Tribolium castaneum: one gene and its partner. The protein of the gene in region 1 interacts with the protein of each later gene in a pairwise test. Links are inferred from orthologs where the notes say so. Each region holds a gene or a part of one and is shown on either strand. Other genes may lie near its edges.

Region 1 (5,957 bases):
ATTATAAACAATATCAGTTGTCATATTGGCAGAATTTCCAATTTCCTGAGCAAACTGTACCGTTGACGCTCTGTTTTCATTAATTTTAGATAATGTACTCGACGGAATTTCATATTTTTTTTTCTTTTTCACCCCACTGTCCATTTCTTTTTCAATAGTTAGATGCCATTTTTCTAGAAAATGTGCCAATTTTTGCGAAACTAAAACTTGCATAACACTGCGCCGAATTGTGACGAATAATTTCGAGTTAAAGAAGTTCGCGCATGCTTTGTTCATTAAAATAATTTTGAGTTAGAGAAATTTTCGAGTTAGAGAAGTTCGAGTTAAAGAAAGCTAAACACATGTAAATAAGATTGGCAATGCAAGGGGAAACAAAAATTTTTGAGTAAGAGAGAAATTCGAGTAAAGGAAGTTCGACTTAAAGAAGTTTGACTGTAGTTAGTTAAATATAGTGAGGCCAATTTACAAAACACTTAATTGCAATCAAATTTTAATTCGCCTGATATAAACCGGCCCCTAGGTGTAATATGACTTATGAGTAAGCATATACGTATAATATAACATATTTTTGTTTTTACAGAGTTTCATTATAAAAGAGACTGCAATCGACGAGCTCTGTGTCAGAAGCCACAAATTGTTTCAAAAAGATTAATTTTTTTGAGAAAATACGAGGAGTATAAAACAGTGAATTTATACGACTTTCTCGACGAGACATAGATTTTTGCCAAAGGAGGAACTTGGAAAACTTGGAAAACGCTTCCCTAATATTTTCTTCAAAGACAAAATCAGACGATTACCACGACAACGTGTCTCCTTGAAAAGCTCTTACCGTCTTTAGAAGATCCGACAATAATTGTATTAGACAACGCATCTTATATTCTTAAATATTTAAGTTTTTTTGAAAATTATTGGATTTGCACCTGACACTTAAAAAATTCGGTAGCTTTTTTAGTTTGAGAAATTTCGAAATTATCTTTGAAGAATTAAAAGAGAAAGCCTATAAAATCTGTTTTCTAATGTGTTCAAAATTGGAAAAGAAGTGTAAAAAACCCAAAATTTTAAAGTTAAGTTTGTACAACTTCAAGTACCCATAACTTATATTAATATCCTAATTTTTATTTTACTAGATGGAGGAGAATATTTTTCTTTATCGATCTATATTAGCATTTCCTATAACCATCTATTATAAATACAGGCTAATCCAGAAATACTGAGACTGTTGGCAACATTGAATTTAAATTTTATAGAATACCATTGGAGTACGCTTCCAGTTAACAACAATTCAACAATCTTGTGGTATTGTATGTTAAATAATTGTCAAAAGTAATCGAATTCGGTTGCAGTCTTGCAAATTACGAGCCATTGTTGCCAACAAACTCAGTTTTTGTGGATCAGTGTGTAATATTCTCAGTGATAGTCCAAAACTAGCTGTATATTTGGTTGCCTATCCGGCAACAAATTTTGACCAAAATTGATTAATACAAAATGTAGACAATTCCCGAATAAGTCAGGAACATAAAATCAAATAAAGTGGAGGTTAATTTATCTTTTTATTATTAGGTAAACATTTAAACACAGTTATAAATAAATCATGTACAAAATTAAACTCAATTCTGTTGCTGTTGCAGCTTTAATTCCACAATTTCCACAATAGCATCTCTAATTTTGCTTTTTTCCAACCCCAAAATTTGAATTTTCTCCATCTGTTCTGTCACAAACTGAATTTTCCGCTTAAAGTAATCTTTAGCAGCATCAATATCCTAAAAAATTCAATCATTAACACACAATTTCAACATCAACATTGCTGCACCTTTTCTGCATAATATCTGGTTCCGATATCGATCAACACATTGTTGGTCTCGTGCAACTTTCCAGGCACGTACATCTTAAAAAAAAACTTTCATTAAAGTTCGTAAATATTACTCAAATTACCGATCCTGTTAACGGCACTAAAATCTCTTTTCCATCCGAATCGGGGCCAACTTTCTCCAGAGACTCTCCGGAGTTTTGAAATTTCGTCTGTGCCATTTTGAGGGACGCAAGAGATTCTTGAAAGAGCGACAATTCCTGGAAAAAGAGCAGTTTTTAGAATCATGTGCAAGGTTTGAGGTTAGGGCACATACCTGGTCTAACTGTTGCTTTAACGTTGATAACTGCTGGATATTTAGCGTCATCAGATCCACTTGCTTCATATTAGGCTGTTCTGTGGACGAAATTTGAGCCATTTTTCTAATAAATTAATAACTAATAAATGGACAAACAAGGTAGTGTCAAATAGCAATGGAGTAGAGACAAATTGCACTGTTTGAATGAACTACTCGTCGAAAGACAATGCTGTGTCTTTCATACAAGCACTGCTTTGCATTATTTTTTTAAAATTGTTTCCAGTTAAATAAATCTGTATACGTTTCGTATTTATTGGTACATATTAAAAAAATTAACAGCAAGTAGTTCCAATTTAGATACATTTAGTAGATAAATTGCATCTATTGGACTTTCTTGATTGGTGATTTTGTAATAACGTTTTTTGAACTTGATGTTTGTACACTTCAGTCAGTTTTATGATTTAATTGTGTTTTTAATAAGTTGAGAAGTCTTTTGAACAATGTACCGACGGTCAAACAGCAGCTCCCAACTTCCAGTCCCCAATAGGTCACGCTCAAAGTCTTCTGTCAGCAGGTAAAATAATGTAAACTTGTAGTACCTAATTTAGGTCCTGGTTTATTAAAAAAGTAAAAAATTACCAAAAGTACCCTTCTCCTAAATTCCTTCTTCAAGAAATTCAAATGAAATTATTGGCTCTAATTTGTTTTAAAGAGTTAGTGCAAAAGATGACAATGCAAAAAGGTTCAGGGCGAATTCCATGGACCGAACCTTAAATCCGCCCTTGAAAAGATCAACAAGTTCGTCAAATTTGAGAAGACCTTCGGTTACTCCATCAGTTAGGTTTTGTTTTGTTTCGAGAACTTTATCACTCTAATGCTGATTGTAGGTTTCTTATAAAAAATCAACGGTCATTACTCCGACTCTGGTAAAACAGTAAATACAATTGACATAACGTTAAACACCTATTTATTTCAGAATTCTGGGTTAAAACGATCAAATTCTGTAAGTGTTTTAAGTACGGATATCTAAAGATTAGGATACGAAACGATGTACATACAAATAAAACGTTCCCGTTTTTAATGGTTCCGCTAATGTCGCCAGAGGGCGCAGTTAAAAAAGTTTTCTCTCTTAATACGCAACAGAATTTCAAATACAGACTGATCCAGAAAAACTGAGTCTATTGGCAACACATTTGAAAGTATTTGTGCTCGTAATTTGTAACATTGCAACCGAATTCGATTTTTCTTGACAATTATTTGACGTCCAACTCCACAAGAATGTTAAATTCTTGTTAACTTGAAGCGTACTTCATTGGTATCCTTAAAAATTTAAGTCCAGTGTTGCCAACAGACTCAGTATTTCTGGATCAGTCTGTATTATGTGTACATCATATTAAAGGTTTTTTAATTCTACAGGCTAATGCGTTGAAAAAGTAAACTCCTTTAAGAAAAGGTTTAATTTATTTTTGAGATATTGCGATTGATGTAAAAGTCGCGTTATTTTATCAGTAAACTTCAAAATTTGTTTTAGGGTTTTGATATTTATTACAAAATATGAAATTTCAACTAATTTAACAAACGCCATGTAGTAGAACACTGTTGTTTTTAAATTATCAATGAATAGACTGATTTTGTCATATAATCCCCCATAGTTTATTGCTTTTGCCTATAGAGGCGTTGCTCGTGCCGTTTCTGTGGATGGTCTTTTGGTTGCTACCTGTTTTTGTCCCAACTAAAGCAAAGGACGGATTGTGGTCATTTTTAGTGTTGTGTAATTAGTGTAATTACCATAATATTTTTCGGTTATTTTAAAGAACCAGTGGCTGAAACATATGAGGGACAAAAGTTATTTTTCTGATAGGAGATTTTTTGAATTTGAAGTTTCCTTAACTATTTTTTTAAATAACTGCTTTGTAGGTTTATTTATTATGCATATCAATTTTGAACATTATGACAAAATGAGAAAATAATGTATTATTATTATTATTAAATCCATAATTTTTGCACATAAGCCATTATCTTGTTATTTAAGTTCGCCTTTTTCAGTGTAGTATATCACAGAATAAGTTTTTGTAATATTAGAGATCAATATTTGACACTGAAATTGGTATACAAGTGTGTAGTGCGTAATTTTTAAATTCTTTTTTTATATACAGTCTTCACTAAGTCAAAATTTTGAATTTTGATGAAGAAACAGCCACTTTTGTTTGTTTGGTTGAAAACTTGGGATTATGTTTTGTCCAAATTTAGATTTTTGTGTTTTTTGAATTCATTTAATTTTTTTCGAACATTGGGCTTTTCGGGTATTATTTCTTGATGTCGCTGGGCATTTGATTTACACAAGTGCAGATTCCTAATATCCAACCTGGAGGAGCTGCTAAAAATGGTTTTTTTTATATCAGGCCAACTTCTTGACTTTTTAATATTTTAATAGTCACTTTTTCTTACTTCACCCCTTACCTCATATTTATTAGCATTTCCGCGAAACATTACATATAATAAATTTTCCACCATAATTTGTGAACAAAAAAAAAAGTTTTACTGAGGTGATGGTGTGTATTTTAATAAATTATTTTACGTTGTTACTTATAACTAAACTCAAAAGCAATAGGTTTCACGTTAATATTTGTTGTTTTCGGTTTATAACTTTTATGTTACTTGAAATATTGCCATGTTTCATTATTCGATAGATCGACTTACAAGTACACAAACTAAAAATATTTTTACTGCACACAGGGTGTTGTATACAGGCTCGTGAACCAAAGTTATATTTTTTAAATCAAACCCCTTATATATTTTGCATAATTAGATTCTACGCAAAAAAAATAAAACTGTTATGGGTCTATCTCTTTTCGTTTCGGAATTATTTAAGTTTTTGTTATAAAAAAGACCAATTTTTGAAAAATCATTGCGAAGTCACCTATGAATATTTTCCGATAAATTTGCAACAGAAAAACTTGGAATATTCTGTAGTTTCAGCATTAGTCGACTTTTACTTGAAACACCCAGATAATGTACAGATGTGCCAAAACGTAAAAAAGTTGAATAACTCATATATTTTTCAAATGGAACACTATGTATTTCTTTACACGTGTCGATAGCATTTTTATAAGTTTTCTAACGATATGCGGTTTGTATAGTAAATTAGAAATATTTCCTAAAGTGTTTTTTTCTTTTTTCTTTTATATTTTATTATTAATTTTTGATGTGTAAAATTCATTGATGTATCAAGTAATAATTAAATTACTAATGTAATTAGTCACATTACATTAGTACATATCAAAAAATTAATTATCATTTGACAAATCAGATTCTAGGATAACAAATTTCTTGTAATAAAATACTTTTTTTTAATCTCGAAAAATGTTTTAAATTTGCTATGTAAACCCTATACCATTAGAAAGCTTATGCAAAATGCTATCGATACGTGTAAAAAATACATGGTGTTTTTTAAAAAAATTGACTCATTCAACTTTTTGCGTTTTAGCACACCCTGTACATTATCTGCGTGTTTCAAGTACAAGTCGACTATTTGCTAAAACTACAAAATATTCTGAGTTTTTCTAATGCATAAATAATCACTTCACAGTGATTTTTTAAAAATCTTTTTCATAACGAAAAGTTGAATAATTCCGAGTCGAAAAGAAATAGATCCAAATAGTCCACATAAAGTTATATTATTTTTTTGCGTAAAATTCAACTATGCAAAAATAATTTAAAATAAGTTATATTTAAAAAAATATAACTTTGGTACACCAGCCTATATACAACACCCTGTATACTGGGTGTGGCAACCTTATCGCGCACCCAAGATAATGGCGACTTTTGATGAAATAAAAATCCTGAAATTTT
Region 2 (5,575 bases), on another chromosome or scaffold:
GAAATCAAGTCTATTTCAAGTCACACTGTTGTCCTGTTGGAGTCTCCAGCCAGTTTATCAACTAGCTAAAAAATTGGAGATATTATTCCAAATTAAACTGTTTCGAAATTTGAGTACCTTGCTAATCCCTGGGAAATTTAAAAATGTTCCTAAAATGGGTACTCTTCTGAGAAAGTTGATGGCAACTGGGAAAAAGCCACTAAAATTATGCTTTGTCAATTTTACAACTCTCAGACACAAGACACATTATACCTAAACAATAATACAAATCCGTAAGTTTCAAAGAGCATTCCAACTAACGGCCAACCTACAAGCACTATCACTATTCCACCAAAGAAGGAGATTGAGGCTTTGATTTTGTGCCTTTGGAAAAAAAATCTAAACGTTCGTTCTAATCCTATAACACATGCCAATCCAGCTATAAACAATATCTGCAACAAAACGAAATGTGATGTTTTTACATGCGCTAACAGCAAGAAATTATTTACTTACATTTCCTAACGCTAATAAACTCTTATCGAAGAGTAATAAAACACCCAAAAATAGGAAAAACATCCCAAAGCCAGCCAGGCCGACCCCAATTTCTGTAAAAAAAATATTATCACCAAACATATTTTGGCAATTGTTTAAACATACTTTGAGTATCGGTGACCTCAAACATTTTCTATTTTAATTTGGCGATTTATATAAAGAAAATTTTAAATTTAAAACGTCTGTGACATAACCTCACAAAACACATCCACGTCACTGGTATGAGTTGGAACTTTTTTCCACTGGCTTTAAATATTACTTTAAAGTTGAAATAGTCAAAGAAAATTGCACGTTTTACTTATGATCACGTTTTCTTACACTTTAGCGCAATATTTACTTTCTTGATCAATCATCTTTTGTGTTGTTAAACATTAGTGTTTTTTATGTTGGCTTTATTGGAGGCGCGAAATTTAAACCGAGACAGTTTTTTGCAAAATCAATTTATTACATCAGTTTTAGAATAATTCTATAGGCTTTGAAAGAGGCAAACACAAGTGATGGAATTATAATAGGAATGAGAATTTGTTTGTACCATATCTTCCTGTTTTTTCTAACAATCTGCAACAGTAGAAATTAATTATAGTTCAGACGTGTTGCAAAACTACCTTTTGCTCAAACTCGTCTAATTGTTTTTCTAAAGATTCTACACATTTTTGCAAACAATGGGCAGCTGGTTTCAACTGAACATTGCACACAATTGTATCCCTTCTATTCACTGCAATAGAAAGAGCAGCTAAATGTTTCGTCAAATGCATAGACATTTGGGCTAAAACTAATTGTACGTATTTTTCATCTATCAAAACCTCTGTATGTTTTCTGCAAAAAAAACATTAGAAATTGTGTAATTATTCGGTTGTAAAAAATACTCTGCAGGTATTTGTAAATTATTAGCATGTTGTAAAACAGCTAATCGAATTTCTTCCTCCTCAATACCCAAGATTTTTAAATCTTCTTCATTGAACAATTTGAGAGTGAATGCATCAATGCTGAATTGTTTAAAATTGCTTGAATATTTTTCAGCTTTCGATGTGCACAACACCGTGTCGAGGATATTCATTATTGTTATTATTTGTTTATTTATTTTAACTTCGTTTTAAAAATTTGGCTAACCTAACCAATCTTTTGCACATTTGACAATTGACATTCAAAACTGCGCGGATTTTAAACGTCAATTCCTTTTTACCTGATGTTCTTTAAAATTATTAGTTTAATAATAATAATTTAATAATAAGTACTGTTTTTCTTTTAAAGGCGTTAACCTTGTGAAACAGGACTCTGAAGTCGTATTCATTTTTGTGCTGAAGCGGAGCAATAGAAAAACAAGGCAGCTCCCTTCAAATTTTAACATTTTTCGAGATATTTGAAAACAAGGTCAAAATGCTTAAAATCTGTTGTGTGCTGAAGGGGCCTTCTTACTGCTAACTTTACACAAAATGTTGCACCCTTTCGTGTCGGCGTTTGGTTTAATCAGTTCCACGTTTTCCTTTCTTGGGGGTGGTAAAAAAGATGAATTTCCCACCGAAGACGGAATTTTGATTTTGAACCAATTTAATTTTAAAGAGGCGGTCAGTCATCACGAACTTTTAATGGTTAAATTTTATCTGCCGTGGTGTAGCCATTGCAAGGCTTTTGCCCCCGAGTATTTAAAAGTGTGCAAGATTCTTGAGAAACAACAATCAAAAATTAAACTGGGACAAGTGGACGCGACAGTCGAGAAGGCATTAGTTCGAGAACAAGAAATTGGGGGTTTTCCAGCACTGAGACTGTTTAAAGGGGGCTATCCCATAACGTATACAGGGCTTCGTAAAGCTGAACACATTGTAGCATGGTTGAACAGAAACAGTGGATAATTGACTAAATAAATAAAGCGTTAACGAGATTTTTATTATTCTTTCGTATTACAAAACGTGTTAATAAATAAGTGATTTTTTCGCAAAATTAAGCATGTAATGCAGCCTTCACTTGCGCCTGTTGAAACTGATGTTGCAGCTTTTGGAGCGCCTCCCTATGCACATCTTGCTTCTTTTCAATCGAAGTGATCAAATCATCAACCCTCGAAATCTCTTTCTTGATATAATCCATTCGTTTGCCCACATTTTGTCTAGCTTCAACAAGTTCAGTTTTGATAAGGACTGGACCAACGGACTTGTACACTTTAGCATCCTTAGGAAGGATTTCTAATTCGTCTTTAACAATCATATTTTCGTTTAACTGACTGTCTAATTGTTGTCTCGTTGAAATCGCCTTTTGCAACTCTGGAAAAGTTTGGTTAGGTTGGACAAAAAACCAGATTATTGTACCTTTTTGTGTGTTTTTGAAACTGTCCAGCTCCGACTGGATTTTTCTTTGCAGATCTTCACTCATTGCTCGGTTTTATAATCTTGGAGTAAATATAAAAGTGTATCTTAATTTTTCCTTTTTGGGCAAACGTCAAAATCAAACAGGCCGACCACCCACACGTCTAGGGATTTCTACGTCACCAACTAGATATACTAAGGACAAAAAATTTATTTCGCTCTAAAAAAGAATAATTATCCTGTATTTCGTTAAACTCAGTTAGTTACTGAAAATAAGGGGGCGATTTACACTTATTACACGACCCGTATTAATACATGAATTAAATAATGCAACTAACTTCACCCTAAACAAAACAACGCAACATAACCGTTAAAATTTGAAATTTCTTCGTGCTTTGTGTTTTCAACGAGTTTAGTTGTGTTATGCTTGTGTTCCGCAGTTTCTTGTATGTTATGTATGTGTAAAAATGACGGAAAACAGAGGAAAGAAGCGCGAACACCCAGACAACAGCCAAGTCGAAGAAGACTTGAACTTTTCGGACGAAGAGGGTATTTATGTGGATGATATTTACATTCCGCCCCCTTTGAAACGTAGGAACGTCGAGAAGTCGCAAACTCGCTTAATAATCACAAAGATCGTGAACAATTATTTTAAAAGTTACGCTGAAAATGTAGTTTTGGGGCCCTTCTCTAAGGTACGTTTGTGACGGTTTGGACAAGAGACAATGAGTGTTTTGTAGTGTTTTAATGCCATCATTGGCCCCAACGGTAGCGGCAAGAGCAATGTCATTGATTCGATGCTGTTTGTGTTTGGATATAGGGCCACTCGCATGAGGTGCAAAAAATTATCAGTGTTGATTCACAATTCTGAACGGTATCCTAATGTTCAGTCTTGCAATGTGGCGGTGCATTTTTGTGAAATCGTAGATAAGGTAAGGCTTAATTTTATGAAATTGTGAATAAGTGATTGTTTTTAGCCCGGGGAAGAGTATGAGGTTGTTCCAGGTAGTGAATTTGTCGTGTCAAGGACTGCCAATAGAGACAACAGTTCGTTTTATGAGCTCAATGGACGAAGAGTCCAATTTAAGGAAATTGGGAAATTGTTGAAGGGGCATGGAATTGATATCGACACTAACAGGTTTCTGATTTTGCAGGTTTGCGATTATTTCTCCTTCAAGTGCTTTATTTTTGAATGAAATTTTGTTAGGGCGAAGTTGAGGAAATCGCAATGATGAAATGTAAAGGAGCAAATGAAAACGAAATAGGAATGTTGGAATATCTGGAAGATATCATTGGAACACACAGATACAAAGTAAGAAGTTTAATTAGTTTAACACAAAAAAAAAAAATTTGTTGTAGAAACCCTTGGAGCAATTAAATGAGAGAATAGAATATTTGTCGGATTTGCGCACTGAAAAACTCAACAGACTCACATTGATTGAAAAACAGTTGGAACAACTCAAGGGACCTATGGAAGAAGCGCTTACTTTTCTGAAAACAGAGAACAAAATTGCAGTTTGTAAGAATTTCTTGCATCAGAAAGAATTGTGAGTTTGTTTGGAATGAGTGCCATTTATAACCCGTTTTTTCCAGACATGATTTAGAAGCTGAAGTGAAAGAAGTGGAAGAAGACAAGGCGAAGTTAACACAAAGTCGTGACGGTTTAATTGCAGAATTGAAAACCATTTCAGATGAAAAAACTGAAAAAGAGAAAATTTTGAAGCAAGAAGCTGGGTAAATAAATCGTTTATTCAATGCTATTAATAAAATACTCATTTTATAAATTAAATCTGATTAATAAAACAATAGTTTAATCAATAAAATGAATCAAAAGAATAAATAAAATATTTATAGCAACGCTTTATTCACTCTGCCACACAACCGTTTTTTCTGTATCAGATGATACATTATTTCTTTATCAATTCTTTTGAGTACATAAAATAGCACTTTACCACAAGCGTACATAAATTGTTTTAAATTCATTGTATTCAATAATTTATAAAGTTACAAATTCCAACATGTTAATTTTAAGGATTAACAATAGCTTTTTTTTTTAAACTTAATGTCTCTGCTATAGAAAAATCAAAGTATTATTTTCGTGAAATAAGTCTTTGTTATTCTTGAACTTAATCGTAAATAAACAATCTCTTTATGGTCTTGTATAATAAATAACTATTTATTCATCTTTTTCATTTAAATATTAAAATTTAGGTTTTCAAAAAGCGAACTGAAATGTAATTGTGATTTAACGTTCTAAAAATATTGAATGCTATACGTGAATAAAGAGCTTTTATCCCTTCAAAAAATTATTTAAACAATTTTGTATTATTCACTTAAATAGCTATTGAAACATTGATTTGTTTTAACAATTTTTTTTCTAGAAAATATGAAAAGTTGCAACAGAAAAAGGATCAACTCAAGGATGCTTTCAATGCGGCTGATAAAAAGGATGCCCAACTACAAGCCGAAATGACAAACACTAACAATAACAGGAAAAAATTTAAGCAACAGCTGGAAGATGAAAAAAAGAAACTAATTAAGTTACAAAAAGTGCCTGAAGAAAATGCAAAAGTAATGACAATTACTTGTATTTAATTTTTGTTAACTTTTTTCTGCAGCTCATTGGAGAGTGTGAGAAGCGAGAGCGTGATTTAACATCACAGCACGAAAAATTACAAGCAGAGAAGGCAAAATTAATGGAAAATATCGGTCATGAGACGAAAGATCTACAAGTGAAGAAAGAACAG

The links. The genes of interacting proteins can lie anywhere in the genome.
Region 2: the proteins of Pfdn5 (region 1) and Pfdn6 interact in a two-hybrid assay, tested with the Caenorhabditis elegans proteins (2 studies listed by BioGRID). The link is inferred for Tribolium castaneum from reciprocal best matches to the Caenorhabditis elegans genes pfd-5 and pfd-6.

The regions. Positions count from the first base shown.
Region 1 is NC_087400.1:9,619,584-9,625,540, reverse strand, and holds Pfdn5 (prefoldin subunit 5), read right to left. Parts: upstream 2,305-5,957; 5' UTR 2,226-2,304; coding exon 2,124-2,225; intron 2,068-2,123; coding exon 1,933-2,067; intron 1,886-1,932; coding exon 1,811-1,885; intron 1,761-1,810; coding exon 1,608-1,760; 3' UTR 1,532-1,607; downstream 1-1,531. Other genes in the region: uncharacterized protein LOC103314387, read left to right, coding at 2,606-2,679, 2,818-2,941, 2,993-3,031, 3,082-3,108. UniProt on the Caenorhabditis elegans protein: Binds specifically to cytosolic chaperonin (c-CPN) and transfers target proteins to it. Binds to nascent polypeptide chain and promotes folding in an environment in which there are many competing pathways for nonnative proteins.
Region 2 is NC_087394.1:25,215,914-25,221,488, reverse strand, and holds Pfdn6 (prefoldin subunit 6), read right to left. Parts: upstream 3,033-5,575; 5' UTR 2,896-3,032; coding exon 2,832-2,895; intron 2,787-2,831; coding exon 2,470-2,786; 3' UTR 2,395-2,469; downstream 1-2,394. Other genes in the region: vesicle transport protein GOT1B, read right to left, coding at 11-61, 118-199, 253-431, 493-584, 637-661; glu (structural maintenance of chromosomes protein 4), read left to right, coding at 3,296-3,523, 3,569-3,760, 3,806-3,982, 4,036-4,140, 4,188-4,375, 4,422-4,562, 5,210-5,399, 5,447-5,575. UniProt on the Caenorhabditis elegans protein: Binds specifically to cytosolic chaperonin (c-CPN) and transfers target proteins to it. Binds to nascent polypeptide chain and promotes folding in an environment in which there are many competing pathways for nonnative proteins.